Arabidopsis thaliana: one gene and its partner. The main gene of each other region encodes a partner of the protein of the gene in region 2 in a complex. Each region holds a gene or a part of one and is shown on either strand. Other genes may lie near its edges.

What was found.
Region 1: VIP3 (region 2) and VIP4 share a complex: the UniProt entries of both Arabidopsis thaliana proteins name them as parts of the nuclear PAF1 complex.

Annotation. Positions count from the first base shown.
Region 1 is NC_003076.8:24,596,366-24,613,461, forward strand, and holds VIP4 (leo1-like family protein), read right to left. Parts: upstream 11,361-17,096; 5' UTR 11,164-11,360; coding exon 11,047-11,163; intron 10,784-11,046; coding exon 10,452-10,783; intron 10,283-10,451; coding exon 10,153-10,282; intron 10,030-10,152; coding exon 9,829-10,029; intron 9,507-9,828; coding exon 9,330-9,506; intron 8,964-9,329; coding exon 8,832-8,963; intron 8,632-8,831; coding exon 8,452-8,631; intron 8,363-8,451; coding exon 8,234-8,362; intron 8,145-8,233; coding exon 8,055-8,144; intron 7,962-8,054; coding exon 7,710-7,961; intron 7,619-7,709; coding exon 7,481-7,618; 3' UTR 7,269-7,480; downstream 1-7,268. Other genes in the region: AT5G61140 (U5 small nuclear ribonucleoprotein helicase), read left to right, coding at 1-55, 124-225, 319-399, 485-565, 782-985, 1,086-1,202, 1,308-1,430, 1,661-1,750 and 18 more; AACT1 (anthocyanin 5-aromatic acyltransferase 1), read left to right, coding at 12,416-13,774; AT5G61170 (Ribosomal protein S19e family protein), read left to right, coding at 14,793-14,876, 15,132-15,222, 15,295-15,478, 15,765-15,837; AT5G61180 (Putative endonuclease or glycosyl hydrolase), read left to right, coding at 16,502-16,952, 17,040-17,096. UniProt on the Arabidopsis thaliana protein: Component of the PAF1 complex (PAF1C) which is involved in histone modifications such as methylation on histone H3 'Lys-4' (H3K4me3). Involved in regulation of flowering time. Required for the expression of the flowering repressor and MADS box gene FLC.
Region 2 is NC_003075.7:14,590,221-14,605,132, reverse strand, and holds VIP3 (Transducin/WD40 repeat-like superfamily protein), read right to left. Parts: upstream 7,575-14,912; 5' UTR 7,406-7,574; coding exon 7,067-7,405; exon of another isoform or gene 6,910-7,066; intron 6,603-6,909; coding exon 5,976-6,602; 3' UTR 5,833-5,975; downstream 1-5,832. Other genes in the region: EMB2757 (Transducin/WD40 repeat-like superfamily protein), read left to right, coding at 86-279, 367-425, 544-637, 792-858, 962-1,044, 1,138-1,229, 1,326-1,432, 1,576-1,639 and 1 more; AT4G29850 (transmembrane protein (DUF872)), read left to right, coding at 2,259-2,448, 3,194-3,315; MTO2 (Pyridoxal-5'-phosphate-dependent enzyme family protein), read left to right, coding at 4,119-5,699; homolog of CFIM-25, read left to right, coding at 7,816-8,000, 8,092-8,137, 8,238-8,331, 8,422-8,495, 8,584-8,670, 8,771-8,881, 9,015-9,086; MKK2 (MAP kinase kinase 2), read left to right, coding at 9,892-9,968, 10,057-10,168, 10,424-10,558, 10,701-10,925, 11,010-11,192, 11,286-11,509, 11,594-11,639, 11,718-11,834; PLP8 (PATATIN-like protein 8), read left to right, coding at 12,597-13,859, 13,954-14,271. UniProt on the Arabidopsis thaliana protein: Component of the PAF1 complex (PAF1C) which is involved in histone modifications such as methylation on histone H3 'Lys-4' (H3K4me3). Involved in regulation of flowering time. Required for the expression of the flowering repressor and MADS box gene FLC.

The DNA of each region.
Region 1 (17,096 bases), on a different chromosome or scaffold from region 2:
ACTATGGCCTCATCAGCATCCTCTTCGGCAATTCGAAAGGGATCTGCCTTCTGATGTAAGCTTCTGAATACTATTTTTACTTGTAATATGTAATATTTTCTCTAATTCATCTCAATTGATCAGATATTAAGAAAACTTGAAGAGCGAAGGGATGACTTAGACCATTTGTATGAGATGGAGGAAAAGGAAATTGGAGCGCTGATTCGTTATAATCCTGGGGGAAGGGTATATAAATCTTAAGTTCACTAAGTTACTGCATGTATATATGGAAAAAAGCACTAATGTTTTTTGGTTTTTTGCTTGCACTGGAATTTCTAGTTGGTCAAGCAGCATCTAGGATATTTTCCTTCAATTCAGTTGGCAGCTACTGTTAGTCCAATCACCCGCACTGTATTGAAGGTAGCTAATGGAGAGATTCTTCAATAATTTATAAGCTTTCAGACGACAAACTATCTATCAACATCTAATTTGTTACCATTTTTAGGTGGATTTGCTTATAACTCCAAATTTCATATGGAAGGATCGTTTTCATGGTACTGCTCTTCGTTGGTGGATTCTCATTGAGGTACTACTATCTAACTCCCATTAAGACACATATGTCACAGTGACAAAGAATGAGCTGTTTGTAACGATATAGTATCTCATGTTATAGCACTACTAAACACTAGGAAGAGTCAATACTCTGTGCTAGATACTAGTTAACTAATGATTTCTTCTTCAATAATGCTAACTCTTTTGGCAGTGTTGATATAACGCTTGTCTTGTGCTATTTCTTCGACAGGACACAGAGAATGATTATATCTATCACTCAGATCTTTTCACACTAACGAAGCGGATGGCTAGAGGGGAACCACAGAAGCTTTCTTTTACCGTACCGATATTTGAACCACACCCACCACAATACTATGTTCATGCGGTTTCTGATTCTTGGTTGCATGCAGAGACTTACTTCACAATCTCTTTTCACAATCTTGCACTACCAGAGGTATATATCTTCTAGAGGTTGCTATTTCCGAAATAGTTACAAGATCATTTCTACGCTTAAATTATCGGTAAGGTAGGTCCTAACAGTCTTCTTCATTCAGGCGCGGACGTCTCACACAGAGCTTTTAGACTTAAAACCTCTTCCTGTGACTTCTCTTGGGAATAAGTTGTATGAATCGCTTTACAAATTTTCACATTTCAATCCAATACAGACTCAGGTTTGAGCATATTTACCCTGTTACTCTCCTAATTTTATATTAAAAATGTTTTTCTTCATCACTCCTTTTTTAGTTAACTGAAAATTGTATGGTTTGGTGTTGCAGATTTTTCATGTGTTATATCACACAGACAACAATGTTCTTGTAGGAGCTCCAACTGGAAGTGGGAAAACTATATCTGCTGAACTTGCAATGTTGCGTCTCTTCAGTACCCAGCCTGATATGAAGGTATGAGTTTTCACTCTCCTAACGCTTGGTAATTATTTAGTTCGAGACTTCGACTAATGTTTCAGTTTATTATACATGATTATGTTTCAGCTAAATTGCCAGCCTTTTACTGAATCTACCTATTGAAATGAAGAAATGAATCTCTAAAATGATATCAAATCACGGCTTAGTTTAGTTTCTAGTGTTCTATTTTATCTTACTGAAGATGCCTAAATTTTTGTGGCTTGCAGGTTGTTTACATAGCACCACTGAAGGCTATTGTTCGAGAAAGGATGAATGATTGGAAAAAGCATCTTGTTGCTCCACTTGGAAAAGAAATGGTAAGAGGATATTGCCTCGGAGCATCTATACATGTTGCAGACTCATAATCCATGATTGCTGTTTATTTGGCTACCAAATATTATTCCTAACACTTGCATTTCAACAGGTTGAAATGACTGGAGATTACACTCCAGATTTAGTAGCTCTCTTGTCCGCGGACATCATCATATCTACCCCTGAAAAATGGGATGGCATTAGTCGTAATTGGCATACTCGAAGTTATGTCAAAAAGGTAAATTTTTGTCAATAGATTGCCTTTTTTGTGAACAGTAACTTATGATGTTCTGGGGATATAGGTCGGCCTTGTTATTTTGGATGAGATTCACTTGCTTGGAGCCGACAGAGGACCGATTCTTGAGGTAGAAGCTTAATAACTATTATATCCCATTTTCTAAGTACTTACGCTAAGCTCCATCTATTGGTTAGAAGTTTCCAGTTATATCATGACACATGCAATGTATCTATGGTCTTGGTGAAGAGCTTATATCTTTTCGGCTCAGGTTTTTTCAAAGTTATGTGTTCCACCAGATTTATTTTTGATCTACATTTGGTTTCCAGGTTATTGTATCTAGGATGAGATATATATCATCACAGACAGAGCGCTCCGTCCGGTTTGTTGGGCTTTCTACAGCTCTGGCAAATGCAGGGTTCGTATTTTAACTTCTCAGACTCTTTGAATATGCTCTTTTCTATGTATTATCATTAAACACGCAACTGAATGTTCGAGCTGGTAGACTGTTATTCGTGTCTTTTCTGTGCTGATGACATTGTGCTTATAGTGTGATTTGTGAGTGAAAGACTTTCAACTTTAGTCTTATTTACTAGAAAATGTTAATGTGGAAGATGGCTTAAGATATACCTTACTCCCAATTTTTCTGGTAGCCAGTTTTACTTATTCTCTCAAGTCTCCCTTTTCAGTGATTTGGCTGACTGGTTGGGTGTTGGGGAGATCGGACTTTTCAATTTTAAACCAAGCGTCAGGCCTGTACCAATTGAAGTTCATATTCAGGTAAGTCAATATCTTTTCTCTAGTTTGCAAACAATTAATACCTTTCTTAAACAAAAAATTTATGTATGTCTCCTACACTGTACTTGACTACGCTATTTAATTTCCATTTTCGGTGGGTGGATTAAAGGTATTCAAGGAAACCATACAAGTATGAAATTTCCAGACTTAACCTTGTTTATTGTTTTCAGGGTTATCCTGGAAAGTATTACTGCCCAAGGATGAATAGCATGAACAAGCCAGCATATGCAGCCATATGTACTCATTCACCTACGAAACCTGTTCTTATCTTTGTTTCATCCCGTAGGCAGACAAGGCTTACTGCATTGGATCTTATTCAGGCATGATTTATCATCAAACACCGATACCGAATCATCTTTTAACTATATAACTCTAATTTGTATCATCCTTTGTATCTTCTTTTCCTATGAAATGAAGTTTGCTGCCTCCGACGAACATCCGCGGCAATTTCTGAGTGTGTCAGAGGAAGACTTGCAGATGGTCCTCTCACAGATAACTGATCAAAACCTTCGACATACGTTGCAATTCGGCATCGGACTGCATCATGCAGGTTTAAACGACCACGATAGATCTGCAGTCGAAGAGCTTTTCACGAACAACAAGATTCAGGCAATTTCCTCAACATATTCTCTCTGCTGCCTTTACCGTATCCATGGTTACACTTTTACATTACGATTGATGATGGAATCCATGCTTCCATTACAGGTTTTGGTCTCAACAAGTACCTTGGCATGGGGAGTGAACCTACCAGCTCACTTAGTTATTATAAAGGTAAAAGAAGGTCCTCTTCTATTATTATGTTTGGGATCACTTTCTTGGATTTTCTCCTCTAATGATTTGTCTTTTCTCTTTAATACCGTTGTTTTTGGCAATGTTTCCTATCAGGGAACAGAATATTTCGACGGGAAAACCAAAAGATATGTTGACTTCCCTCTTACAGAGATCTTGCAAATGATGGGACGTGCAGGGCGACCACAGTTTGACCAACATGGGAAAGCGGTTATTCTTGTACATGAACCTAAAAAAAGCTTTTACAAAAAGGTCAAGCTCAGTTGGAATTATTTGGCAATTTTTGGTATCCGTTGCAACAATTTACCTCAAAAAGATCATACTTCCTCTGCATGCAGTTCTTGTACGAACCATTCCCCGTAGAAAGTAGTTTGAAAGAGAAGCTGCACGATCACTTCAATGCGGAAATCGTCTCTGGAACAATAGGCAACAAAGAAGATGCAGTGCATTATCTTACATGGACGTATTTGTTTCGTAGACTGGTAAATATGCTTCAGTTTTATTAAAAAGCGAGATACTACTTGAGAACGTGATTCTGGTTCCTTGAAAAATTGTGCTAAAAGCATGATCAGTTCCCTGCAGCCAGATTCTCTTTTTCCTTTCAGATTTTTCCATTACTGCAGAATAACCAGTTCATGACTCAATCTGGTATTTGATGTAACAGATGGCTAATCCTGCTTACTATGGGCTAGAAGGTACTCAAGACGAAACAATCTGTTCCTACTTATCAAGGTAAATATCAAAGTTATTAAATAAAGAAGATTTCTCTAACTAGAACCATTGTAATATTGGTGTATGCGGGCTGCTTTTTGTGTAGATTGGTGCAAACCACATTTGAGGATCTTGAAGACAGTGGTTGCCTCAAAGTAAATGAAGATAGTGTGGAGCCTACGATGCTGGGTACAATAGCGTCACAGTATTACCTTTGCTACATGACCGTGTCTATGTTTGGCTCTAATATAGGTCCTGACACATCGCTTGAAGTAAGAAGCTGATCCAGTTTATATTGATTATTCTTTTTGTTTTTCTTTGGTTTCTAACCACTGCCCTTTAGGCATTTTTGCATATCTTGGCTGGTGCTTCTGAGTATGATGAACTTCCTGTGCGGCACAATGAGGTCTGGTCTATACTGTTTTACTTGACGAATATATGGTTCATTTTTAAAAGTATCTTTAGTGATATGGTGTCAAAAAAAAAAAAAATCTGTGTCCCTTAGGAAAATTACAATAAAACACTGTCAGATAGAGTTCGGTATCCCGTGGATAATAACCATCTAGATGATCCTCATGTGAAAGCGAATCTGCTCTTCCAGGTATGTACTTCTTCACACTATCATGCACTGAAGAATGAAACAAAAATCCAAACTGTGTGAGTTCATGACTTAGGCCCTGTTTGTTTGTCCATCCACATGATCCATCCAAATGGAGATGAAAAATGATGTTTGTTTTTGACAATTTAACAAGCATTTGGATGGATCATCTGGATGATACATCTGAATGAGTATCTAAATTTAGGCAAATTTATGAAACTCATTTGGATGAATTTGATTAAACCATTTGGATGGAGATGTTTCATCCAAAAATAACAAAAAACTAATATACCCTCATTTATAGTCATAATTTAAATAATTTTATTTTCTATAGATTTCTCAAAAAATCATGAAATCACGTATTATTCTTTTATGTCAAAATCGTAAAATCGTGGAATTGCGTTTTTTGGCCAAAAATCGCAAAATCATAATTTTTGATGTAAAATTATAGAAATCGCTATTCCACCTAAAATCATAAAACTATATTTACGCTGAAACCACTAAATTATATTTTCTTGCCAAAATGACAATATTATGTTTTTCCGCCAAAACTGCAAAATCATGTTTTCCTGCTAAAATTGCAAAATCATTTTTCCCGCAAAATCATATTTTCCCGCCAAAACCGTAAAATCGTATTTTTCCGCCAAAACCGTAAAATCATATTTTCCCGCCAATATGTTTGGTATTGATAGTGGGTAATAATGTTGAATATTTGTCATTTGTTAAAATGAAAACATGGGTATTTTAGTTATTTTTATCTAAATGAAAATGTGAATGAACTACAAAATGATCAAACAAATAAAGATCCATTTAAATGCATCATTTATATTAAATTACAAATAACGAAACAAACATCATTCAAATGTATCATTCAAATGAATCATGTAAGTGGATCATTTGAATGGAAATGATAAATGATGAAACAAACAGGGCCTTAATCATATAATTCATGATTGTTACCATCTTCTTAATGCATGACATCCATTGCTCCAGGCACATTTTTCTCAATTGGCACTTCCAATCAGTGATTATAACACGGATTTAAAGTCAGTACTGGATCAAAGCATTCGGATCCTCCAGGCCATGATTGATATCTGCGCAAACAGTGGATGGCTCTCAAGCTCACTGACGTGTATGCGCCTTTTGCAAATGGTCATGCAGGTAGTGTCCTGAAGATTACTACTCTTAGCTTGTTCAAATTATTTCACTTTTGCAAATTAAGAGGAATCCAATTCTCTTTTTAATTCTAGGGCATGTGGTCTGATCAAGATTCGTCATTATGGATGATCCCATGCATGAATGACCTTCTTCTAGGATCTCTGACCGCAAGAGGGATTCACACGCTACATCAGCTATTAAATCTTCCAAGGGAAACTCTACAAAGTGTAACCGAAAACTTCCCTGCATCAAGATTATCTCAGGTGCTCTCAAATTGGTCACAACTATTTCTTTTGCATTTAATACTTTCACTCATGGAGTCTCAACTATTCTCTGCTGCACTCTTCGATCTTAATTAGGATCTCCAACGATTCCCACGGATCCAAATGAATGTGAGACTCCAAAAGAAGGATTCCGATGGCAAGAAAAAGCCTTCAACGCTGGAAATCAGATTGGAAAAGACATCAAAGAGGAATAGCTCGAGGGCATTGGCCCCTCGATTCCCAAAGGTTTCACTTAAAGACTTAACCACAGATTAGTTTGAGCTCGAAACAAAAATGAAATTGAATTCAACACGTTTATTTTGTGTTATAGGTGAAAGACGAAGCGTGGTGGTTGGTTCTTGGTGATACTTCAACTTCTGAGCTCTTTGCTGTGAAGAGAGTTTCGTTCACTGGTCGTCTGATCACACGCATGGAGTTACCTCCCAATATAACCTCTTTTCAGGTACAAACAATTTTCAACTTATTTTCTCAAACTAAATCATTCTTTCTTACACTTCTATGTATATATTATTATTGCTGAATTGGTTTTTTTTTTTTTGGCCAGGATACGAAACTCATCTTAGTTTCGGATTGTTATTTGGGGTTTGAACAAGAACACTCCATTGAACAACTTGCACGACGCGGATGAGCCATTAGATGATGGATTGTAGTAACCCCATATTTTTTTGGAATTTGTTTTATATATTGTCAAAATTTTCTTAAAATTCTGGTTTTTTTTTGTCGTCTTCTTAATGTAAAACCAAATTTTACCTTACGTTTTGTAATAAAACAGTGTTACAGATCTTTTGAGATACATAAGAAAAATAATGAAGAGCTTAAGGTAAATGTGTTAATTTTACATAACGTTATGTAGAACAGTGTTACAAAAAAATTGGGCTACATGACTACATAATAAATTAATCAAGAGATTAAAACTAAATGTGTTTACTCTGTGACAGTCTGTTTGGTAAATTTGTTTGGGTCAACAAGTTTACGTTATTTTGAACTATCTCCATATCAAATTACCAATTATTCATTACAGTTACAGAAGGGAAATAAAATCCATTATTACATGAATTTAAAAAAATCATGATTCTGTCTTTATTTTGATTAAAACGAGTCTAATTCCAGACTACATTATAACAAATGGACGAAAGGAGAGTGAAAGATTTGACGAACATGATTAATCTTCGTCACTGTCATCAATCACGGCCTTACGACGATGAGTCGGAGCTTTTCTAGGCGGAGACTCCTCCTCGTCAGACTCAATCCCTTTCCTTTTCCGGCCACTTCCACGGTGATCCTTCTCTGCCCTACCTCCCTGCATAAACCACATTTCACCACACATTACAATCTCAATGAACTTCCTCATTGACAACAATAAAAATGGAAGAACATTCTAATTTGCGTACCGCAACCTCTTCCTCTTCTTCATCTTCATCTGAGTATCTGTTAGATTTTCCTCGTTCCTCTTCATCTTCTTCTGCATCTTCCTCATATTCATCTTCTGAATCCTTGCCCCTTCCACGGGCCGGTGACTTTTCTTCCTCTTCTTCTTCCGTCTCATATTCTGATTCCTCTCTCTCACTCTCAGAATACTCCATTTGACGTCTTGACGGTCTGGCCGAAGTCATTGAAGACCTCCCCGGAATGCCTTTGTGGCTCTGGTTTTACCCCAGTGAGAAGCAGTTGAATATTAGTTCAATTTCTAATGCTTTTTTTGCATTCCGAGATATATGAGTTTTTGTTTTGTTTACCTTCTTGGCGTTTAGAATCCGGCGTTCCCGTTGCGCTTCAGCTTCGAGATCTTCCTCATAGCCACGGTTTGAGCGGTAATCCTCGTCATCCTGGTTCCAAGAAACAATCAGTCGTTACTAGTGCAATCTTTGCTTTAGAAAATGGAAGAACCCAATATACACAAACTAATCAAACAGACCTCATCAAGAGCATCTTCCAAGTAGCCAGTGGAAAGTTGTCTCCTTTCAACAGGAAGTGGATACTTGCGCTTGATTTTCTCCCTCGCCTGACTCAGCTTTGTACTAGCCTTGAGGTTTTGGCTTTCCGCCTTCAGAATTTGAGATATTAAATGAGAAAAGTCTACAAACACTGCAATAAAACTATTGTTGGATTGTCTGAGCTCAATTAAGAGGTAACCTTTTCTCTCTTCTCCTTCTCCCTCTCAGGGTCAATGTCAGTGACACAGTTCTTAACTTTGAAGGCCTTCTTCTGCCTCGATTCAACAATGGCAGTCAAGAGCCTATGGGAATTTGACGTCAGCGATGATGGGGTAAATCTCATTTTCTTCAAAATTCTTCCTTGTGATTGAAGGATACCCTACACCAACATCCAAATAAGACAACACTTTGAGATATAGCAGAGTTGGAATGCAGGAGACATTTGGTTTCCTAATGAGAAGTTTTGTCATTTAGTATAGAGAATCGTATGGGTGCTCTAAAATGAATCAGTGTATCTAGGAGGCTGGAGCAACTACAAATTGATCGCTAACTAAGGCAGAAGGAATGACGAAGTAACACCTTTTCATGTTTGATAAAGAGGTGATTCTGGTCTTCTTTTGCATCTTGTTCAGTTATGTTAAGAACTTCGTTTCCTATCAATAGCTGTAAGCTTCCATCTGACCACCTTACAAACCGAGCATTACTTTCACTCTGCATACGAATATAGAGTGACTTGAGTTTACTACAGCAAAAGTAACGGAAAAAGTAGAAGAAATGTGTGCAATAAGCAACAAAACCAAGAATTCTTGTTTATGGGCAGATTTCTAATGAAGCCTAAAGAATAAGAAGAACTGTTGAACAGAGATATCATAAAATTTCATCTCCAACTATATGAACACATGTCCGTAGTGAAAAGCACAAAGTAAACTAATTCGGAATACATAAATTGCATCAAAAGTATGTACTTATAATACATCATTGCATCAGAAGTACTAGTAATAGGCAAACTACATAGCTTCATTGCAGGTTTGATGGAAAATTTAAAAGCAGAAAAGCTTTGAAGAAGTGTTCACTTACATATGTTTTGCCATCTCGACTCTTAACAAACCTATGGCGAACAATATTATTGTCCAAACGGATACGATTCTTTGCTCCGGGTTCATCTGTCATGAATGTGTCTTCTTCAACGAATGTTTTGGCATCAAAAGGCTTTGGATCAATCCCCATGATATTGGAAACTTTTATCATGTTCATCTGAAAAAGATCAAAGAGAAAACGGTATATGAGGAAGCGCAATTTTGCTACAGAACATCTTCACTACAGATAGACAACTAGAAAATGGGGTTTCAGATATAAAACAGAATAGCACGCTCATGTACACCAAATGGCCCTTCATGCTAAGTAAATGTAGAAGCATGTTTCAGTGCAATGGTTCTCCACATAAAAGACATCAGATACTCACTCTTCGAACCACAATGATATGAGAGATTTTGGTAACTTGGAAATACCAGAAAGGAAACTATTGATTTGAAGCCATGTCAGCGAATAATCTTTTAGCAACATAAAGCAGGTATACCTTAACGGGGTCACCTGGAGGAGGGCGGAAAGGAACCTCCACTTCCAAAGGGGGACCAACTGGCCTCTCCCTGTACCTAGCTTCAACATGTTCAGCTTCTGACTCGTATTGAGGATCTTCTTCAGGGATTATATCATCAAGCACCATATCATCGGGTCTCAGATCCTTCTCAGAGCCCTCTTCATCTTCGATTGGCGATCTCTACAAAATTAGACATCTCATCATACATACATGCAATTTCATATGGTTTCTAAAAGGAAGCAAACACTGGAAAGGAAACAGATATTCTGTAAACTGAAATGTAATATTAGATGCAAGACTCACATGTTCATCCTGCTCAACGTCATTCCGAACATATTCTTCTGCGTCTTCATCATCCGAAGATCCGAAAACATTACGAATATTTACGTCTGACTGTGCAACTTGAACCTCTTCCTTCTCCTCACTAGGTGATCTACCCACCACGCCATATTTCCATGTACAAAAGACAAAGTGATCCATAAGAAATTTGAAAATCCAAGGAACCTCAGAGGACTAGCAAGTATTATTAAATCCAGAGCACAGAAAAGATCAAAAAGAAGCTATGAAACAGCTAGGAAAAAAAAGAATGGAAAAAGGGGTACCTTGGACTCCTAGTCTGATCAACCTCTTCATCTTCAGACTCATAATGCTTTTCACCAGACCTCTCTGATCCGCTCTCAACAACCTCCTGTCTCCTCTTTTTGGCTACTCTACCCCCATGTTCTTCTTCTTTGTTATCACTATCACTATCTCTTGCTTCACTTTCCTCTTGTGGATCAGCCTCCTGTGAACTTTGCTCCCTCTCACCCTCACTTTCTCCAGGATCAAGTTCTACATCTCCCTGTTCCCCGTCAGACTCAGCTTCAGCTTCTCCGTGAACTTCAACCTCAGCTTCACCTTCTCCTTCAGGCTCCACCCCGCCCTCAGCCTCATCCTATCAGTGTTTACATTGGAAATTTCAGCCACAATTTCACTGATATCTTAGTCTAGTTGATATTAAGAAGAACTGAAGCTGAATTAGGCCTAATAAGTTGCATTGGTTCCTGCAATTAACCTAAAACCCTAAATTCAAGCGAGAAGAACTCCAGAAACCATTCGTATTCCAAGGTGTAATTGAAGAACAGTGGCAGTGAAAAATACGAAAACTGAAACAATCAATAGTGACGAAACGAAGGAGATAAAGATGGAGAGAGTTACGGAAGCGTAGTTAGGCTGACGACGATTGCATTCATGTTCGGATTCGATCTCTTCTTCCTCGGAATTATCTCCGAACAGATTAAGCATCATCTCGGATCTCTTTTCTCCTTTAACCATCTTCGCCTCACTTACTCAAAAGTCACTGCCTCTTAGCTGGTGACGGCGGCTCGTGATCTGAGCTCCGACGAAGGGTTCACTGTTATCGGCCTTTGTTGAAGAAGCTATTTTTTTTTCATCTCTACCTCGCGATTTTATGGCATCAGAATTATTATTATTAAAAACAATTGTTACAACTTACAAAGAAAAGGAAATTTTCATCGATATATCTTTTTTAACGCATTACCGGATTATTAAAAATCATTTTTTTTACGTGTAACGACGACTAGAGAGGGAAAAAAGATGGGATTTTATGGGCTTTTTTGAGATTGGAATTCAATATTTTTGGCCCACAAATTTTGGGTTATGGATACCAGTTTCTTTGTGATAGTGAGCTTGTGTTTGCCTTGGCCCCTATGTATATGAATGATACAACATCCTTTTAACTGATTCTTTTGGCCCCTATTTTTTTATATTTAATTTATTTTAAAAACTAATTATTAACTTCTTTGATCAAATAACTTGAGTTGCCAAAATAAATGTTATGTCTTCTTCTAAAACATTGTTGTTGGTTTATAGATTTTATCTGCTTTAGAAATTAACAAGAGACAAAGATTAGGTAAAAGCATAACCGACTTGTGTTCTATGAAAACTTAAGTGACAACTAAACATCATGAATATTCAGGAAATCCTGAAAATTTAAACAGAATTATAGTAATTTCTGAAAAACTCAAGAAATTATGGAATAAAAAGAAAAAAGAAAAAACTATGGACACTTTTAAATTACTCAAACTAGTTTAAGGCTTTTGGAAATTTCACTTTTTGCTTTTTTTTAACTCGAGAAAATTACAATTTTATGTAGACACATTTTGCTCACAAATGTTTATTTATATATTTTCCATAAATTTATTTTTCAGCCTTTTATCTACAAAAATTTATCTTCTAAGAATGTTTTTACCACCAAAAATAATAAATATAAACCACAAAAATAAAATTATATATTTTATATATATATATATATATATATATATATAACAATTTTTATCTATGATATCTGGCAGTCGCAGTTGGCTTAAGCCGCCTGGCCGCCTCTGGAGGGACCAAAATAATTCAAATGGTAATTACGTGCCTTGGCTTCCAACCAACGTTTTTGACTAGGGCTGACTCGGTAGCTTGTTATGTTAGTATAAGAGTTAACTCCATCTGATACTCAGCTGAATAAACTCATACGTACAAAGGAATATTATCTAAAAGACGAGAGTACAAGTGAGAAATGGCGTTAAAGGTGATCAAGATCTCCCGAGTCAGCCCTGCAACCGCCTCCGTCGACCCGCTCATTGTCCCACTCTCGTTCTTTGATTTACAGTGGCTTAAACTCAACCCTACCGAGCAAGTCTTCTTTTACAAACTCACCGAATCATCATCATCTCGCGACGTTTTCTACTCCTCCATCCTCCCCAAGCTCGAGCGATCTCTTTCACTCATCCTCACTCACTTTCGCCTATTCACGGGTCACCTTAAGTGGGATTCACAAGATCCAAAGCCGCATTTAGTTGTTCTCTCAGGAGACACACTCTCTCTCACAGTGGCTGAGACTGATGCGGATTTCTCACGTATCTCTGGCAGAGGGCTTCGTCCAGAGCTAGAGTTACGCCCTCTAATACCCGAGCTACCGATTTATTCTGACTCGGGGGCTGTTGTATCTCTGCAAGTCACTTTGTTCCCGAAACAAGGCTTCTGCATTGGAACCACAGCCCACCATGTCGTCTTGGACGGCAAAACGGCTGAAAAATTTAACAAAGCATGGGCTCACACTTGTAAACATGGCACCATACCGAAAATTCTACCAACGGTTTTAGATCGTTCTGTCGTCAATGTTCCAGCCGGACTTGAACAAAAGATGCTCGAACTTCTGCCGTATCTTACGGAGGACGACAAAGAGAACGGAAGAACCCTAAAGCTACCTCCAGTCAAAGAGATTAACGCTAAAGACAACGTCCTCCGAATCACCATCGAGATAAGTCCTGAAAACATTGAGAAACTCAAGGAGAGAGCCAAGAAAGAGTCAACACGCGCTGAGCTTCACTTGTCAACGTTCGTAGTCACGTTCGCCCATGTGTGGACATGCATGGTGAAGGCACGTAGTGGTGACCCAAACCGACCGGTTCGTTTCATGTACGCTGCTGATTTTAGGAACCGGTTAGAACCACCAGTCCCTGTGACATACTTCGGGACTTGTGTCTTAGCCATGGATTTCTATAAATACAAAGCTAAGGAGTTTATGGGAGAAGATGGATTTGTCAACACCGTCGAGATTCTCAGTGATTCGGTCAAACGTTTGGCTTCACAAGGGGTAGAGTCAACTTGGAAAGTGTATGAGGAAGGAACAAAGACAATGAAATGGGGTACACAGTTGTTGGTCGTAAACGGGTCGAACCAGATTGGGATGTACGAAACGGACTTCGGGTGGGGAAGACCCATTCACACTGAGACAATGTCTATCTACAAGAACGATGAGTTCTCTATGTCCAAGAGGAGAGATGGTATCGGTGGCGTCGAGATTGGCATCTCTTTGAAGAAACTTGAGATGGATACTTTTCTGTCTTTATTTTACAAATGGATTGGAAACTGAAAACGTACGGTCTTAATCGATCCCAGCTTTTGCTTATTTGTATTTTTATTTCTAGTTCAATAATTGCCCTATATGTACTACGCAAATTTGTATTGATTCTGTCTTTTGAATTCTATTTTTTGGGGTACAATAATCATCCATATTTGAAATATTAGTAGACTTTTCATGATCAGTGAATCTATTTCCCCCTACTTTGAAAAATCGAAACTTTGATTTCAGAAAAAAAAAGCTGTGATACGCAGTGGCGGAGGTACAGCTTCAGGAGGGGGGTCACTTGACCCCATGACTTTTACAAAAAAAAATTTAATAGCTTAATTATTTGGTATTTAGTATATAATTTGGGTTCAAATATTAAATTGACCCCCTTACTCGAAATTCAAATCCTATTTTTGCCCCACTCAATTACCATATTTTGTGTAAATCAATCTCATTATTCTTCTTCTATTAATTTCCTGAACCCTATATTAAATTTTGGTAACTGGTTTTATTATTCCCCTAAAAATACATGAATTTAGATAGACAAAACAATTAAATAATGTGGGTACTAATCTTTACATTTAGATAAACAAAAAACAATTTTAGTAACAAAAAAGATGTATATCATTTTTCACCAGATTTTTAGTAAACTTTTAAATAGAAAAATGATGAATAACATATGACTACTCGTGTATTTTCCACAAAGAATTTTTTTTCGGAAAAACAACAATAATTTACGAAATTGTGATATTATTTTTTGTTCTATTTTTTTATCTATAAAAAATTTTTTTTTAAAAAAAATCCTTGTTTTAATTTTCTCAGAAACGTGGGACCACAATATTTTCCAAAGGGTTCAGAGTTTAGCGGGCCGAATATATGTCATAGGCCCATAGGCTAAAACAATAAGGGTAGTTATGTAAAATCCGCTCACACACACTCCTCAAAAGCCCTAATCGTTTATCATAATTCCTCAATCCCGTCTTCAAGTATCGCCGACGCCGCAGCACAAAGGAGGAGAAGAAGGATCAAAGGCGCGACAACAATGGCGACAGGTAAAACAGTGAAGGATGTCTCTCCACACGAGTTCGTCAAGGCTTACGCTGCCCATCTCAAGCGTTCCGGCAAGGTAACGAATCGTGATTCTTAGCTTTTGGTCCGCATCGTTTGTCCCTAATCTAGTATTTTGATTGATGTTTGGGATTACGATTACCTCATGAAACTGCAATGATCACTGCCTGATTGAAACTTGAATTTGGCCTTACTCTAGAGCATTTTGAATCGTAACTACAAATCTCAATAAAGTCTAAACAGTGATTTGCTAGTGTCATTTCAGTGAAGATAGGTTTCTGCTTTTGATTCCAATGTTGTTCCTTCCATGTAGATTGAGCTGCCTCTGTGGACAGACATCGTCAAGACTGGTAAACTTAAGGAGCTTGCTCCATATGACCCTGACTGGTACTACATCAGAGCTGGTATGTATATATAACATCTGGTCAAATCTTCTACATATTGGATTTAGCATTGTCTTTATCTGTTCTATTTAGCTTCCATGGCTAGGAAGGTTTACCTGAGGGGTGGTCTTGGAGTTGGTGCCTTCCGTAGGATCTATGGAGGAAGCAAGAGGAACGGAAGCCGTCCTCCTCATTTCTGCAAGAGCAGTGGTGGTGTTGCTCGTCACATTCTTCAGCAACTCCAGACCATGAACATTGTTGACCTCGACACCAAGGGGTAAGTATATTGTCTCTAGTTTAGATTTCTCATTGGCCTAAATTAAGTTAATACACTGGTACAAAGAAATTGTAGGAAAATAAAAATTGTATAACACAAGTTAGACACTTGGATTCGATTTTCGCTTAAGAAATCTGCTGAAACTGTAATTGTGACCTATTAAAACTCACTAGATGAAGTGTGTATAAATGGTTTTAGAATGTACTACTGCGTCATTTACTAATATACCTATGGAAGCAATTGTTCATCTTCGCTAGCTTATGATTACATGTTCTGATGTAACCAGTGGAAGGAAGATCACATCAAGTGGTCAGAGAGATCTCGACCAAGTCGCTGGAAGGATCGCAGCTGCTGTCTAAATCATAGCGACTGATGGTCAACTCCAAGTTTAAGGTTTATGTTTGAGATTTAGTAATGGAATGAGTTGCATTTGATGAAAACCAGTAGTAGAATTCCCTCTCATTTTTGTTTTGATGAGTTTTCGTTTACAAATTGCCTCTCTTTTTATTCTCAGCGACTTATGGCTTATATATTTGATTTCATCTTTGACCTCCTTTCCTTTCTATTTCATGAAATTAGTTATCAAAATTTTGATAATGGCTTGTTTAGGTTTTTACATTTAAGCTCCTCGTTCTTCTTCAAAATCAAAGTGTAGAAACAGAGATTACCAATAACTAATTGTGAACGTTTCAAAGTTTTTAAAATTTCTTGTAAACGGAGGTAACCATTAAAAAACGAATTACATTTATTATTTTGTAATATTCAAAACAAAATCAAAATCTTGAGAATCGAAACCGTTACGTATACTACAATTTATATGATCACATTTTAAATTTCGAAAATTGAGGGACATTTCAAATTCAAGAAAACATATACTCCACTAATTTAGGGTGTCTCCGTTAGTTTCTAAAACTCGTTGCCCCTTTTAATTCCAGTTCAAAAGCTCACGCCTCATACACAATCTCTAAACCCTGACCTCCCATTTCAGTTTCTCTGTTTGAGAACACTTGATTTCTTTTAAAAATGGCGGCTACAGTAGCAGAGTACGCAACTGCTAAATCATTGGCGTTGCTGGACACAGAGAACCGCGAGGTTCTCAATAGTTTTGATGCCATTTTTACTCATGGCAACACCGATCAAGTCGCTCCTCTTGATGAGCCTCTGGTCTTTAACCGCTTTGGACTCAGTCACATCTCGGCCAAAGACACCCATCAACCAAAAACGGACGTAGATGAATCAGCGAAGGCGGATTTCGCTGGTGCAAAAACGTCAGTTTGGTGGGACATTGAGAACTGCGAGGTTCCAAAGGGTTGTGACCCTCATGGGGTTGCTCAGAGCATTAGATCAGTTCTGTCGAAAAGTAACTTCTGTGGTCCGCTCACTATTTATGCCTATGGTGACACAAATCAAATCCCTTCCTCTGTACAACAAGCTCTCTCTTCCACCGGCGTATCTCTCAATCACGTCCCTGCCGGTTAATCTCTCTTCTTGAAACACCTGATTAGCTATAAATTAAAGTATGAATATTTTGGAGTTAGTGAGACCAGTCTTTGCTTTGTAGTCTCTAATGGCTTAATTATTCTCTATGTTCTTGATGATGGTGAGCATTTAACAGGAG
Region 2 (14,912 bases):
ATCTCCCCCTTATTCGACTTTTTATGCGTTTGTTTCTATCGAACTATAAGTCTATAACCAATGATTCTTGTGACATACTTGGCAGAGACCCATTACTAATACTTGAGACATGCGCCTATCATTTTTGCAAGTTCTCTCTTGTTAAGAAGCCTAAGAATTCTCTGCAAGAAGCTGAAAGTCACTCACGGGGTTGTGATGAGCAGGATGGTGGAGACACATGTAATGTTCAAATTGCTGATGATAGTGAACGATCTGAGGAGGATTCTGGTTTGCTTCAGGGTATGTTTTACTTGCGTTGTCTAAAGATTTTGTTAGCAAAATAACTGTTTTTCTTCTTATTGCTCATATTACAAAAAAATTTAGCAGATAAAGATCATGCTGAAGGTACCACTTTTGTAGCAGTAGTAGGGGAGCAACCTACTGAGGTGACTAGAAATTCATATATGTTTTGTTTTGGAAAAGTCATAAAATTGTTTCTTCTCTCCTCTTTTATTGGTTTTCATTTCCTGTGTTTCATTCTTGTGATTTGGTCTATCCATAAAGGTAGAGATATGGGATCTCAATACCGGAGACAAGATAATACAGCTTCCTCAAAGTAGCCCTGACGAATCCCCCAATGCTTCTACCAAAGGAAGAGGTGAGCTCATATTTGTCTTTCAGTGAGATCCTTCATATGTACATTTTCTTGTTAAAATTGATGTTTTTTAGCATCAGTAAAAAATTTCAAATTAGTTCACCTTTGAACTTGCTTAAAATACTTTCATCAAGGTCGTATATATGGTCATCTGCAGGAATGTGTATGGCTGTTCAATTGTTTTGCCCTCCTGAATCACAGGGTTTCTTACATGTCTTAGCTGGGTATGCTCTCTTTCCTAAGCTCTTTTCCATTAATCAAGAAAGACAAATCTCAAGATTACATACTTTGTTTTTATAATGGGTGGTTCATTCCAAACTTGCGCAGTTATGAGGATGGTTCAATACTTCTTTGGGATATACGCAATGCTAAGATTCCTCTAACAAGTGTGAAGTTTCATTCAGAGCCAGGTCTTGTTTCCATCCTCTGTATTTAGATTTTTCTTATATTTTGTTCCTGCTCTCTGAATTTTCCAAATTACTTAATTCGTATTCTTTATGCAGTTTTAAGTCTTAGTGTTGCATCATCATGTGATGGAGGAATCTCAGGAGGGGCAGATGACAAAATTGTGATGTATAATCTCAACCATTCAACTGTAAGTTTGACATCTGCTAGAGAGGATGCACTTGTGTGATTGCCGTAAAGCTATAGTTTAATACTGATTCCATGACATTTTTTCATATGATTGTAGGGTTCTTGTACAATAAGGAAAGAGATTACTTTGGAAAGGCCCGGTGTATCGGGCACCTCAATTCGAGTCGATGGGAAAATTGCAGCCACGGCTGGTTGGGACCACAGGTTAGCATCCTCATGCTATGCACTGATTTTCACAATATGAAACAAAACATATGAATAAATCAATTAGACTTCGTCCAGTGTGAAAAAAAGTTGATGCATATGACTAAAAACTATTCTCCTGTTTGTTACATATTTGGAAACAGAATACGAGTCTATAATTACCGCAAAGGAAATGCTCTAGCAATACTAAAGTACCACCGAGCAACGGTATGTGAAAATTTCTTAGACTGGTTCAACAGTTGAGAGACAACCATTTTCTAAATCTTTGTATTTTGATGCCTTCATGTGTTTTGTTTGCAGTGCAACGCTGTGTCCTACTCTCCAGACTGTGAGCTAATGGCGTCTGCGTCTGAAGATGCAACTGTTGCTCTCTGGAAACTATATCCTCCCCATAAATCTCTCTGATCTTTATGGTTCGGTTTTGGTTTGATTTCTTGACCTGAATCTCTTGAATTGGTAAATATACATGATGTCATCATCAAAAAAACAAATGGAAAAACAGAGAGTATTTTCTGGTTTGTTATATATAGCCCACTGATTAGTTTGATTTGTTCAAACTCGCACGTTCTGCCGTTTTCGGAGAAAAGAATAATCAAACGACGCGTAGTTTGAATCATAGTACGTTGAGTAGATTTCACGACCAAAAGAAATTGCATTTGCACCAAACTAATCCGTCACCGTCGTAGGAGACTCATAACATCTGAAGACCTAAAATTCAAACAGTACGATTTCATCTTTCTCGAGCTCTAGATCAATCGTCATTCTGCTTTCTTCTAGATCGGTCCTGATTGTTTCCCATTGATCTTTGATCCGGAAGCTGTGTAAAATGGCGTACGTCGACCATGCGTTCTCGATAACGGACGAGGACATTATGATTGAGACTTCATACACCGTCAATAACCGACCGCCGGTGAAGGAGATCGCACTCGCGGTGGCTTTACTCGTGTTCGGAACCCTAGGAATTGTCTCCGGTTTCTTCATGGCTTATAATCGAGTTGGCGGTGATCGAGGCCACGGTAGCGATTTCTTCACCTTTCTTACTTATTCCACATTTATTGATCCAGTCTTGGAGTAGAAATTGGGAATTCATGAGAGAATATGTGGGACTTATCTTTGCTAGTTTGAGAGATTTAGAAAACAGTAATTGATTTCAGCTAGATTGTTTTAGGAATTTTTTTAGATTTGGTGAAGTTATGTTATAATTTTGGTAATTAAGCTGATAGATATAGATTGCAAGTGCTCTGGTTAGCTACGGTGGAGTGTAATTTCGTTTCAGCTTGGCCTTTTGCTCTCTGTTTTCTGGAGATTTGGATGAATAGACACAAGTTTTCCAAAGGCATACGATTTGATTTCATTGTTAGAATGATTAGTAAACTTCCGATAGAAACTAGTATATGATGATTCTAAGCTTCTCTTATCTGTGAGATAAAAAAGGGAAGGATCTCCGTTGGATTCCATTAACTTTTTAGATCACTATCATCACATACTGTTATTGATATATCCCAATTCTGCTTGTAACATAGACATGAGATTCACTTCAAATTAGCTAGTTTGCTCTTCTTCCTCTGGGCTTGTAATTCATTAATGCATTTCATACATCCCCAATGCAATACTGCAAAGCGAAAGCAAGTATCAGCATTGTACTTAAACTTGATTTCATTTGATTTGCTGTTTTCTTCCGTTTTGCCGGAACTACTTCTTTCTCATCATTGCATCAATGACCTATCATTCTCTGTTTGATATTTTTGATGGTGAAACCAGGGATTTTCTTCATCGTCCTCGGGTGTCTTCTGTTCATTCCCGGGTTTTACTATACACGGATTGCGTATTATGCTTACAAAGGATACAAAGGTTTCTCCTTCTCAAACATACCGCCCGTTTAGGTGTCCCCTTTTGAATCTCTCCTACTCAAAATGTATAGAGATGTTTTATTACTCTATAGCAATGATTGACTTGTTTTCTCTTTTGTGTAGTTTTATAGAATTTGAGTCCAGTCCTTTCTTACTTTCTCCTTCTTCTTGTCAAATAAATTCGAGTCTGTGACAGTTTAGTCAGATTTATACTTACATATCTATAAATATACACCCGGTTCAAATTGATATTTGTTTCTATAAAGATTTCCAATTCGAACCAAGTAATATGGGATACTTGGAGTGTTCACATGTTGCTTTCAGATGTAATTGTTCATTTTCCATCAAATTCCTCTGGATGCAGTATTTAATTGATTACAAATTTGGCCAACTTACACATTGTTACTACTAGAGTTTCAATCTATATCATGATGGTGTATTGGTGTTATATCAAAATTAAAACGTGATTCTTATGTGAATTTTTATGTTCAACATTATTGTTTTCTTTGGGTCAAATGTAACCTTTTATCTTTTTGTCATCAACATGAATGTTCCTTATAACATGCACTTTATTAGCCTGTTTAAAGCAAAACGTGACAAAACATAAATATTCAATTGCTATATACGGAAAGCGATCCAGATATTTGAATGATTAATGGGCCCAAAATATCTCTCTACGTCACATACATAATCCCAATTAACCTAAAAGCTTAAACCGACTAGCCGGTTCTAAGACATTTCCGGTTTAAGTATCTGAATATAGTTTTCTCTCTCTCTCACTCGTGTCCTCTCCTCAAAATCCTCAGCCGCATCTCACTTCTCATTCTCTAGAAAAAATGGCTTCGTCTTGTCTCTTCAATGCCTCTGTATCGTCCTTAAACCCTAAACAAGACCCCATCCGCCGCCACCGGTCAACCTCTCTCCTCCGCCACCGCCCCGTCGTCATCTCCTGTACCGCCGATGGCAACAACATCAAAGCCCCGATCGAGACAGCGGTCAAGCCTCCTCACCGTACCGAGGATAACATTCGAGATGAGGCTCGTCGTAATCGTTCCAACGCCGTGAATCCATTTTCAGCTAAATACGTTCCGTTTAATGCAGCTCCTGGATCCACGGAGTCTTACTCTCTCGACGAGATCGTGTACCGTAGCCGCTCCGGTGGTTTGCTTGATGTCGAACACGATATGGAGGCTTTGAAGCGATTCGATGGCGCGTATTGGCGTGATCTCTTCGATTCGCGTGTTGGTAAAAGCACATGGCCTTATGGATCGGGTGTTTGGTCGAAGAAAGAGTGGGTTCTTCCTGAGATCGATGACGACGACATCGTTTCAGCTTTTGAAGGAAACTCGAATCTGTTCTGGGCAGAGAGATTTGGTAAGCAGTTTCTAGGTATGAATGATCTGTGGGTGAAACACTGTGGGATTAGTCATACAGGAAGTTTCAAGGATCTTGGAATGACTGTTTTGGTTAGTCAAGTTAATCGTCTGAGAAAGATGAAACGACCTGTGGTTGGTGTCGGATGTGCTTCCACCGGAGATACTTCTGCTGCTCTATCTGCTTACTGCGCCTCCGCTGGAATCCCATCGATTGTGTTTTTACCGGCGAACAAGATCTCTATGGCTCAGCTGGTTCAGCCGATAGCTAATGGTGCGTTTGTTTTGAGTATTGACACTGATTTTGATGGGTGTATGAAGCTGATTAGAGAGATAACTGCGGAATTGCCGATTTATTTGGCGAATTCGTTGAATAGTTTGAGGTTAGAAGGGCAGAAAACTGCAGCTATTGAGATTTTGCAGCAGTTTGATTGGCAAGTTCCTGATTGGGTGATTGTTCCTGGAGGTAACCTAGGAAACATCTATGCCTTTTACAAAGGGTTTAAGATGTGTCAAGAACTGGGACTTGTCGATAGGATCCCGAGGATGGTCTGTGCACAAGCAGCTAATGCTAATCCTCTTTACTTGCACTACAAGTCTGGTTGGAAGGACTTCAAGCCCATGACTGCAAGTACCACTTTCGCCTCTGCGATTCAGATCGGTGACCCTGTCTCCATCGATAGAGCTGTGTACGCTCTCAAGAAGTGCAATGGTATTGTAGAAGAAGCCACAGAGGAGGAGCTGATGGATGCGATGGCTCAAGCGGATTCGACAGGAATGTTTATCTGTCCTCATACAGGTGTTGCTCTAACTGCTCTGTTCAAGCTGAGGAATCAAGGAGTGATTGCACCGACTGATCGAACTGTGGTAGTGAGTACTGCTCATGGGTTGAAGTTTACTCAGTCTAAGATAGATTATCACTCCAATGCCATCCCTGACATGGCTTGCAGATTCTCCAATCCTCCTGTTGATGTGAAAGCAGATTTCGGAGCTGTCATGGATGTTCTCAAGAGTTACTTAGGAAGTAATACACTTACGTCATAAGAGACAAGACCATAATCTTTAGCTGTTTTGTTTTTTGAAAACTTTTAGACGTTTGTTTGCGTTACTCTTCAACTCATCTCTCTGTGATCTTTATCTGTTTCTCAGTTTTCCAATAAAGTTCTATCGCAAAGTTTGAATCATTTTATCTTCTTTGTTTTTTGTGTAAGCGATAAATCTAAAGACTCCGGTCAAAATCAACCTGTTGCAGATTATATTGTTACAACTAGATGCGTCTTGGAGAATGCATAAAAGAAAAAAGTCAAAAAACCGAATTGTTCATGAGTAATCATAGAGCGATACACTCTTGTCATCAGAGACACTAGCAAGTCGACCAGCCCGGACACCGGTTCCACCTGGTGGTCTAAAGGCCACAGACCAAACCTGGTCATTGTGGTTGCTCATTGTCTGAATCGCAGCTCTCATTTTAAGATCCCATAGCCTCACAGTTCTATCGCTTGAGCCGGTTGCTATGGCTCCACCGTCTGGGCTAGCATCAACGCTCAGCACCCAACTCGTGTGCCCTGACATGGACCCCAACAGCGTTTTCCCTTCTGCATCGTGCATGTTCACATGCCCATCATCTGATCCAGAGAAGAGGACTCTCGGGTCTACAGGGGAGAACACAAGGGACCTTACAGGCATATTGTGACCTTCTAGCTGGTGAAGTAGCTTTGAGCGGTCAACATCAAAAACACAGATCGTACCATCCATTGAACCACAAGCAAGTCGTTTCCCATTAGGAGACCAAGCCACCGAGAGAACGAATTTCTTGCTGCTGGTTTTATCGGAAGGTTTTGGTGCATCTGGGCGTGGGATTGATAGAGTTGAGATTAATCTCCAGCTTGCAGTGTCCCAAAGCTTGACTGAGGCACTACTTCCACCTGCAACAGCAAGGATCGTACCCTTGGAACATGTAAAATACTATGTTAGCAGAGCACCATTCTAAAGAGTAATGTTGAAATTATAAGCTCAGAAGCAAATAAAAACTCCACTGCAAACTAAAAGAGAGATCATTGCACTGATACTTGATAGTCACCAGGTCAAAATTCTATCATACCAAATCAAGATTTATCATCAAAGCACCAATAAATTGTTCTTAATCTACTATATAAGACTCAATGAAAAATCAGAAGATGATCTAGATCTATTTTCCGAGCAGAGTAGATGACCCTATCTGATCAGAGCTACAGATTCAAACGATACTCAGCAATTCCATATAGTACCCAAGCATTGTTATATAGATCAGGAGAAGCATTACTCGCAACTAAGAAGTGAAATTCAATGAAGCAATCGAATTCTTTCACCACAAAACAACCCAAAATCCTTCAAAACCCTAAAATTGGAGGCAATCTCATTGAGTCAATTACCTTAGGTTCAAATTGCATTCCCCAAACCTCAGAAGGAGGAGCTTCCAAAACAGCAATCGTAGCATTAGTATCAACATCAAACACACGGACAAAGCTATCAATCGAAGAAGATGCTGCAATAATCCCAGAAGGATGCGCAGCCAAAGCTGCTACTCCCAAAGAGTGTCCAGTATTAGTCCGCACAAGATCCAGCTCGTCCGGTCGCCATAACTTCACCGTCTCGTCAAGAGATCCAGTCAGAAGCAACGCCGGTCGATCTTCCGTCGCCGGAACCCACGTCGCTGCCCAAACGGAATCTTCGTGAGCGTTCTCGATCGATTTCAGACCTGCGAGTTTCATTCTCTTTTTAGGTTTTTACTGTGTTTCCTCAAGTGAGCAAGAAGAAGCAAAAGACCCAAATTTGAAACAGAGACTTTGATTCTCGTTTTTTAGTTATAAAATAGAAACTCGCGTCGTTTTTAGTAGTTGGAAACAATAGAGTGTTTAACATCGTTCCGTATTCTTGTTTACTACTAAAGGCCCATTAATATCGTAACAGGCCCATTAATATCTTCTTCCTCACTCTCCCGCCGTCGTCAGCTAATTGCGGAGAAGTACTCTCTGGAGCCGCCACGTCTCAGTGATCCGACTACGACACCTTTCTTCACTCTTCTTCTTGCGTCTTCTCTGCTCTCGTGGTCTCTCTGTTATTTAATTTTAATCGATTGAGATCGCTTTTAGCTCTCGTCTTTGAATTTTACGGGCAGAAAATGGGTGAAGAAGCTCGAGCGTTAGATATGGAGGAGATCAGTGACAACACGACGAGACGAAACGATGTCGTTCATGACTTGATGGTTGATTTATACCCGCTTAGCAGCTACTACTTCGGTTCAAAAGAAGCTCTTCGCGTCAAGGACGAGATTATCTCTGATCGAGTCATCAGATTGAAATCCAAGTAAATCGAGTTTTGATGTGATTTAGATCATCTGGTTTTTTTCTTATTGTTTTAATCTATAGCTAAAGTTTCTTTTTTGTTTCTTTTGAAGTTATGCTGCTCATGGATTGAGAACTTGCGTTGAAGCTGTTCTTCTGGTAATTTTATAGTTGGTAGCCAAATTAGGGATTTTGAAAAGTTTTACAGGGAAAATTGGTTTGAAAGGATTGATTAAAATCTAATGTTGGGACACATCAGGTTGAGTTGTTCAAGCATCCTCATGTTTTGCTTCTTCAATATAGAAACTCCATTTTCAAGCTTCCTGGTGGTCGTTTGAGACCTGGAGAATCAGGTTTAGTATGCTGTTTCCTTGCATCTTTATGCATAAATATCGCTGTCTCAATTCTAAACGCTAAAGTCATGTTTCTCCTTAATCTTCTAGATATTGAAGGTCTAAAACGGAAACTAGCATCAAAGCTATCGGTTAACGAAAATGTGGGTGTTTCGGGTTATGAGGTAGGAACTATGGCTTCTTGTTAAAGTGCTTTTGTATCTGATTGTTTCTGGCTTAAGAATGGTCTCTCTAATTACAACATTGTTGTAGGTAGGAGAATGTATTGGGATGTGGTGGAGACCCAACTTTGAGACATTGATGTATCCTTTCTTGCCACCTAATATTAAACACCCAAAGGTTGGTTAGTTAGTTTCACTTTCATTGTAAGAAAAAGTTGAGACTTTTGAAGATTTGCGCTTATACTAAAAGCTCTGCTCTATCCTCATCTTTTGTGTAGGAATGCACAAAGCTTTTTCTTGTGAGATTACCGGTACATCAACAGTTTGTTGTGCCTAAGAACTTCAAACTCCTCGCTGTTCCATTGTGTCAACTCCATGAAAATGAAAAGGTATGTACTATCTTACTTGCATTGCCCTTAACTCATCGTGAACTTTTAATCGATGTTCCTGGTAAAACTAACAGGGTCAGTCAATCAAGCTGTATTTAATTATGTGTTGTGATGTTTCATTTATGCGTTGCAGACTTATGGGCCGATCATGTCGCAAATTCCTAAGCTTCTTTCGAAATTCTCCTTCAACATGATGGAGATATGAACGAACCTCATGATCATTGCCTCTAGTAGCTCTTGCCCCCCGCAATTTGTGATAGGATTATGTTTGGGGAAATCGTTTGTGGAGCCTCTCTGAGTCTGTGACTATATAATGTATATAGGGCTTATAATATATAGACAATGTTGAAGAATAGCATGTTCTTGTTGGTTATAGAGACTAGACATGAAGTATACTGATAGATAGATTAATCAATTCGAAACAATTTTTCTTTGTGTGATAATTTCGATGTGTAATTGAATGTATACATGAGTAAAACAAATATAGGGGTGTATGCTTATTTGTATATTCCTTGTTGAAGAAAACCTTGTTATCTTCAAACATGAAACCGAGAAACATAAGTAAAGATTTTACTGTTTGTTATATGTGTTTATTGTATTTGATCAAACAATATTTGAAATATTGAAAACTTTCTATAAATATCAAACGTTAGTTTGGCATTCTGCGTTAGCGTTTTGTTGTAGTGGTGATTTTGGGAGTGTTTAAAAACCAAAAGCTAAAGAACGAAGAATCACTGAATTAACCGGTTTGTTTCCGGTTAAAATGTGGATTAAAACTTTTCGGTCAAAGAAAACCGGGAAAAAGAAGTAGTAAATGGGAAAGTCTCTAAGTCGTTGGTCAACGTCGTGAACATGTGCTTGACTAATATTAATTAATGGCTGTTTTATTTCCAAATTCCAATTTCTGGCTGAAAAGTACATGAATTATGCTTAAAACTGTGTTTTACTTAATATATAATGACGAGGAAACAACAAAAAGGAAGAAGCGAAGAACGAAGTAGACGAAGACGATGAAGAAAGGTGGATTCAGCAATAATCTCAAGCTCGCAATTCCTGTTGCTGGCGAGCAATCCATCACCAAATTCCTGTATGTTTCTCGATCTCTCTTTCTCCATGGATCTGTGGATAGATAGATGTATTTGTGTGTGGAAATGTCTCTGGTTTTGTTTTTGAAGGAGGAAAGGTTTTGGTTCTCTCTGTAGGACTCAAAGCGGTACGTTTAAGGATGGAGATCTACGTGTTAACAAGGATGGAGTTCGAATCATTTCTCAATTGGAGCCTGAAGTCGTAAGTCTTTCCTCTTCCTCGTTCGGTGCTGATTTTACTGAATTTCGCGAGTGTTAGGTTTGATTGTTTATTTGTACTGCATATGAAGATTTTGTTGAGTTTGAATGCATTAACTGTAATGTGGTTGGTGGATCTGATCATAATTAGAACCTTCTTAAGATCATTTCTGTAGTTCTGGATAGAGAAACTCAGGGATTAAGCTCATATCTTCTAGATTACTGTTTGTAATCTGTTTCGTTTGCGACTGTGTTTCAGCTGTCTCCAATTAAGCCAGCTGATGATCAGCTGAGCTTGTCGGATTTGGATATGGTTAAAGTCATTGGCAAAGGAAGTAGTGGTGTTGTTCAGCTGGTTCAACACAAATGGACTGGCCAATTTTTCGCCTTGAAGGTACTCATTGGTTAACCTTCAGATTCTTTTATGTATATGATGAGCTAAATTCCTCATCTTTTCTCTGTGTTTGAAGATTTACAAATCTTTTTCTTCCTTGCCTTGTCACTCACTGTGCATAACTCTGATGCTATATGATTAGGTCATTCAACTAAATATTGATGAAGCAATTCGCAAGGCAATTGCACAAGAGCTCAAAATAAATCAATCGTCACAGTGTCCAAATCTTGTTACCTCGTACCAGTCATTTTATGACAATGGCGCAATCTCACTAATCTTGGAGTACATGGACGGAGGATCTCTAGCAGACTTTCTCAAGTCAGTTAAAGCCATCCCTGACTCCTATCTTTCTGCCATCTTTAGACAAGTAAGAAACACAGGATACACAGGAAACTATACGCTTCACTGTTAATTGGTTGATTGATGTGATTTATTGGTTCTGTTATTGCAGGTGCTTCAAGGATTAATCTATCTTCATCACGATAGGCATATCATCCATCGTGACTTGAAACCATCCAATCTGTTGATCAACCACAGAGGAGAAGTCAAAATAACTGACTTTGGTGTGAGTACCGTTATGACAAACACCGCAGGTTTAGCAAACACATTTGTGGGGACTTACAATTATATGTCTGTAAGTATCTTATTTGTCTCTTGAGCATTGACTAGTTTGAAACCCCTTTCGAGTGTTATAAAAATTGAGAATCTTAATTTTTCCTTTTTACAGCCAGAGAGAATCGTTGGAAACAAGTACGGAAATAAAAGTGATATATGGAGCTTGGGTTTAGTAGTACTCGAATGTGCAACAGGAAAGTTCCCTTATGCACCTCCGAATCAAGAGGAAACATGGACCAGTGTTTTCGAGTTGATGGAAGCCATTGTTGACCAACCGCCACCCGCTCTTCCTTCAGGAAATTTCTCCCCTGAGTTATCTTCATTCATCTCCACATGGTAATCTCTCAAAAAATTCCTGCTCCCTCTTTTACTGAGATTACTTTACTAAGTTAACATATTCCACTCTACACTCTCATCCAGTTTGCAGAAGGATCCAAACAGTCGAAGCTCTGCAAAGGAACTGATGGTTTGTTTTATATAATCCCTTTTGCATGTTTTTCATCCATTGAAATGTTGAATCATACTCTGTGTCAAACAATTTCAGGAACATCCTTTCTTGAACAAATACGACTACTCGGGGATCAATCTCGCGTCCTACTTCACAGATGCAGGATCGCCACTTGCAACACTTGGGAACCTGTCTGGTACGTTCTCCGTGTAAACTACAAGGGAGACATAATATCACCATCTGGTTCCTGTTATCATCTGAAGATTTCTTGTTTTACCTTCCAGTGATAAAATGATCTTTATAATACATATAGATATATTAAATTGCTGTATTTTAAGATTATAGATATATAAGGTACATGAGAGTGTTTATTTAAAAAAATTCACTTGGAATTCATGTTTTGTGATACGTTAGATTGGAATCCATTTGGGAAAAGAAGAATCATCTGTTCTTATGTCTCAAATTTTGACTTCATTCACTTTTCTTCTTGTCTTTTAAGAAAGCTTCCACAATCTAACTGTTCGATGTGAAAACTGAGATTCGAGTAAGAAAATGTGAACTGTGTTATACTGTTTTTTAATTAGATAATTTAGATTGCACTCAGATAAATTAATAACATTCCTCGAATACTTTTATGTGATTGGATATATTAGGTATATCTGCCAACCAACCAATAAACTGCTATGTTTAAACAAATTAAATAAATTAGTATATGTTTACTCAAGAATAAAGAAGATAGAAAAGAAAATTCTATATGAGCTAAATTTGCTGGAGGAGGCATCGGACGTGGGTACCAGACCTTTCCAAGCACACGAGTAGTGCTTAGCCATGTCATGCTAACATACACCATTTGGTTCATACAAAATCCAAATCAAAATCTATTTTTAAAATCTTTTGCACACGTCTTTGAAAAACACCTCTCATACTATAGCTACGGAAGCTTCAATTTCAAGGTTTGTCTAAAAGCTAACGATTATGAATCGGCGCTACGAAAAGCCACCGCCATTGTCAGTTTCCTCCAAAGGGAAGAAGAAGCATTTTGTCAATCACACAGCTCCCAACACTCCTGGAAATTACGAGAGGACTCAAACCAGTCCAACGTTATCAACGGCTCGATCACACGAACCCGATGATAAGCTCAATTACGAGATCTTCTCAATTCTCGAAAGCAAATTTCTCTTTGGTTACGAAGACCCAAGGCTACTATGGATTCCTCAGAGTCCATTACGACCCGGTGATTCCGAAGCAGGTCCTTCTCCCAGATCACCGTTGACTCCAAACGGCGTCGTTCTCCCGGGAACACCGTCTTCATCTTTCAGAAGTCCGAGAGGAAGAATCTGCGTTTTGAGCATTGACGGTGGCGGTATGAGAGGTCTTTTGGCGGGAAAATCCCTAATCTATTTAGAGCAAATGCTGAAAGAGAAATCCGGCGATCCAAACGCTCGAATCGCCGATTACTTCGACGTCGCTGCCGGATCAGGTGTCGGTGGAGTATTCGCTGCGATGATATTTGCGACAAGAGACGGCAACCGCCCGATTTTCAAGGCGGAGGACACTTGGAAATTTCTCGTAGAGAACGCAGAAGGATTCTACAGATCAGGGAGCGGAAGTGGAGGAGGAGGAGCAGGAGCGGCGATTAAACGGGTCATAAGATCTGGATCCGGATCCGGATCATCTTCAGTAACCGCCGCAACGGCGAAGCTAGAAAAAGCAATGAAAGCATCATTCGCCGATCTAACGCTTAAAGACACACTCAAACCAATTCTCATCTCTTGCTACGATCTCTCAAGCACGGCTCCGTTTCTATTCTCACGCGCCGACGCGTTAGAAAGCGACAGTTTCGATTTTCGTCTCCGAGATATTTGCCGTGCCACATGGGCGGAGCCGGGGACGTTTGATCCGGTTCGCACGTGTTCCGTCGACGGGAAAACGCGGTGCGTTGCGGTGGGGGGTGGATTAGCGATGAGTAATCCGACGGCGGCGGCGATAACGCACGTGTTTCATAACAAACAGGAGTTCCCGGCGGTGAAAGGAGTGGAGGATTTGTTGGTGTTGTCGCTTGGGACTGGTCAGCTTTTTGAAGTGAATTATGATTATGAACAGGTTAAGAATTGGCGCGTTAAGGAATGGGCTCGGCCCATGGCGAGAATCTCTGGTGATGGGTCTGCTGAGTTTGTTGATCAAGCTGTTGCTATGGGCTTTGGGCCTTACCGAAGTAGTAATTACGTTCGCATTCAGGTTTTTTTTCTTTTTTATCATGATTGGAGACAACGTTGTATGTTTTGGCGTTTTTTGGATGAAAAAATCATTAGAGAAATAAATTGTGGTGCAGCAGGCAAATGGATCGCGATTAGGAGCTTGTGGACCGAACGTGGACACGGATCCAAGAGCAGAGAATGTGAAGAAACTGACGGAGATAGCTGATGAGATGTTGAAGCAAAACAATGTGGAGTCGGTTTTGTTCGGAAGCAAAAGGATAGGAGAAATGAGCAATTCAGAGAAAATAGAGTGGTTTGCGAGCGAGCTTGTCATTGAGCAGCAGCGACGAAGTGTTAGAGCGTCTCCAACCGTAACGCTAAAGCAAGCTGTGTCCAAAACTAACCGCAATGCTATAAACGCAACTCTCACTCTCATATCTAAAGATAGATGAAAACACCTGTTTTTGGTGCTTCCTATTGGTTTTTCATACCTTTTGTTTCGACGTTGATATTTACTTGAAAGGGAGAATTAGAGTGCGATTCAAATATACAAGTCATTATTTTAGTTTCATATTTCATAATGTCCTTTCAAAATTCATTTTGATATCTTAACTCCAAGTTATTCAATTCATAACACTATATGTTAGCAAATCGAAGGCGTGATTGATGATGACTTGTTAGCATAATATGTTAGAGTGAGACCTGTTTCTTGCACTAAAAGCTGATTTTTTTTTTTTTAATTATTAAGGAACATAAAATGTGTGTATGTACAGAGGCAATAATAATGGTTCTGAGGTTATGAAAGCTACAAAATGCCAAAAAGACGAAGAAGACCTGCCCACTTAACTATATATCACTACACAACATTACTATCACTCGTTTTCCTCTCCTGAAGTTGAACTACCGGACCTATCTTAACCACCGGAGCCAAACCCAATTACCCAATAAACAAAAACAGTTTCACCACCCACGTAATTCAACTATAAGAAAGGGAAAGAAAGAACCCTAAAAGATGATGATGAAGAAGAAAAATAATCAGAACCTATATCGCCTAGTTTGCTGGAGCCTACCCAAATAACCGATTATGGTGACT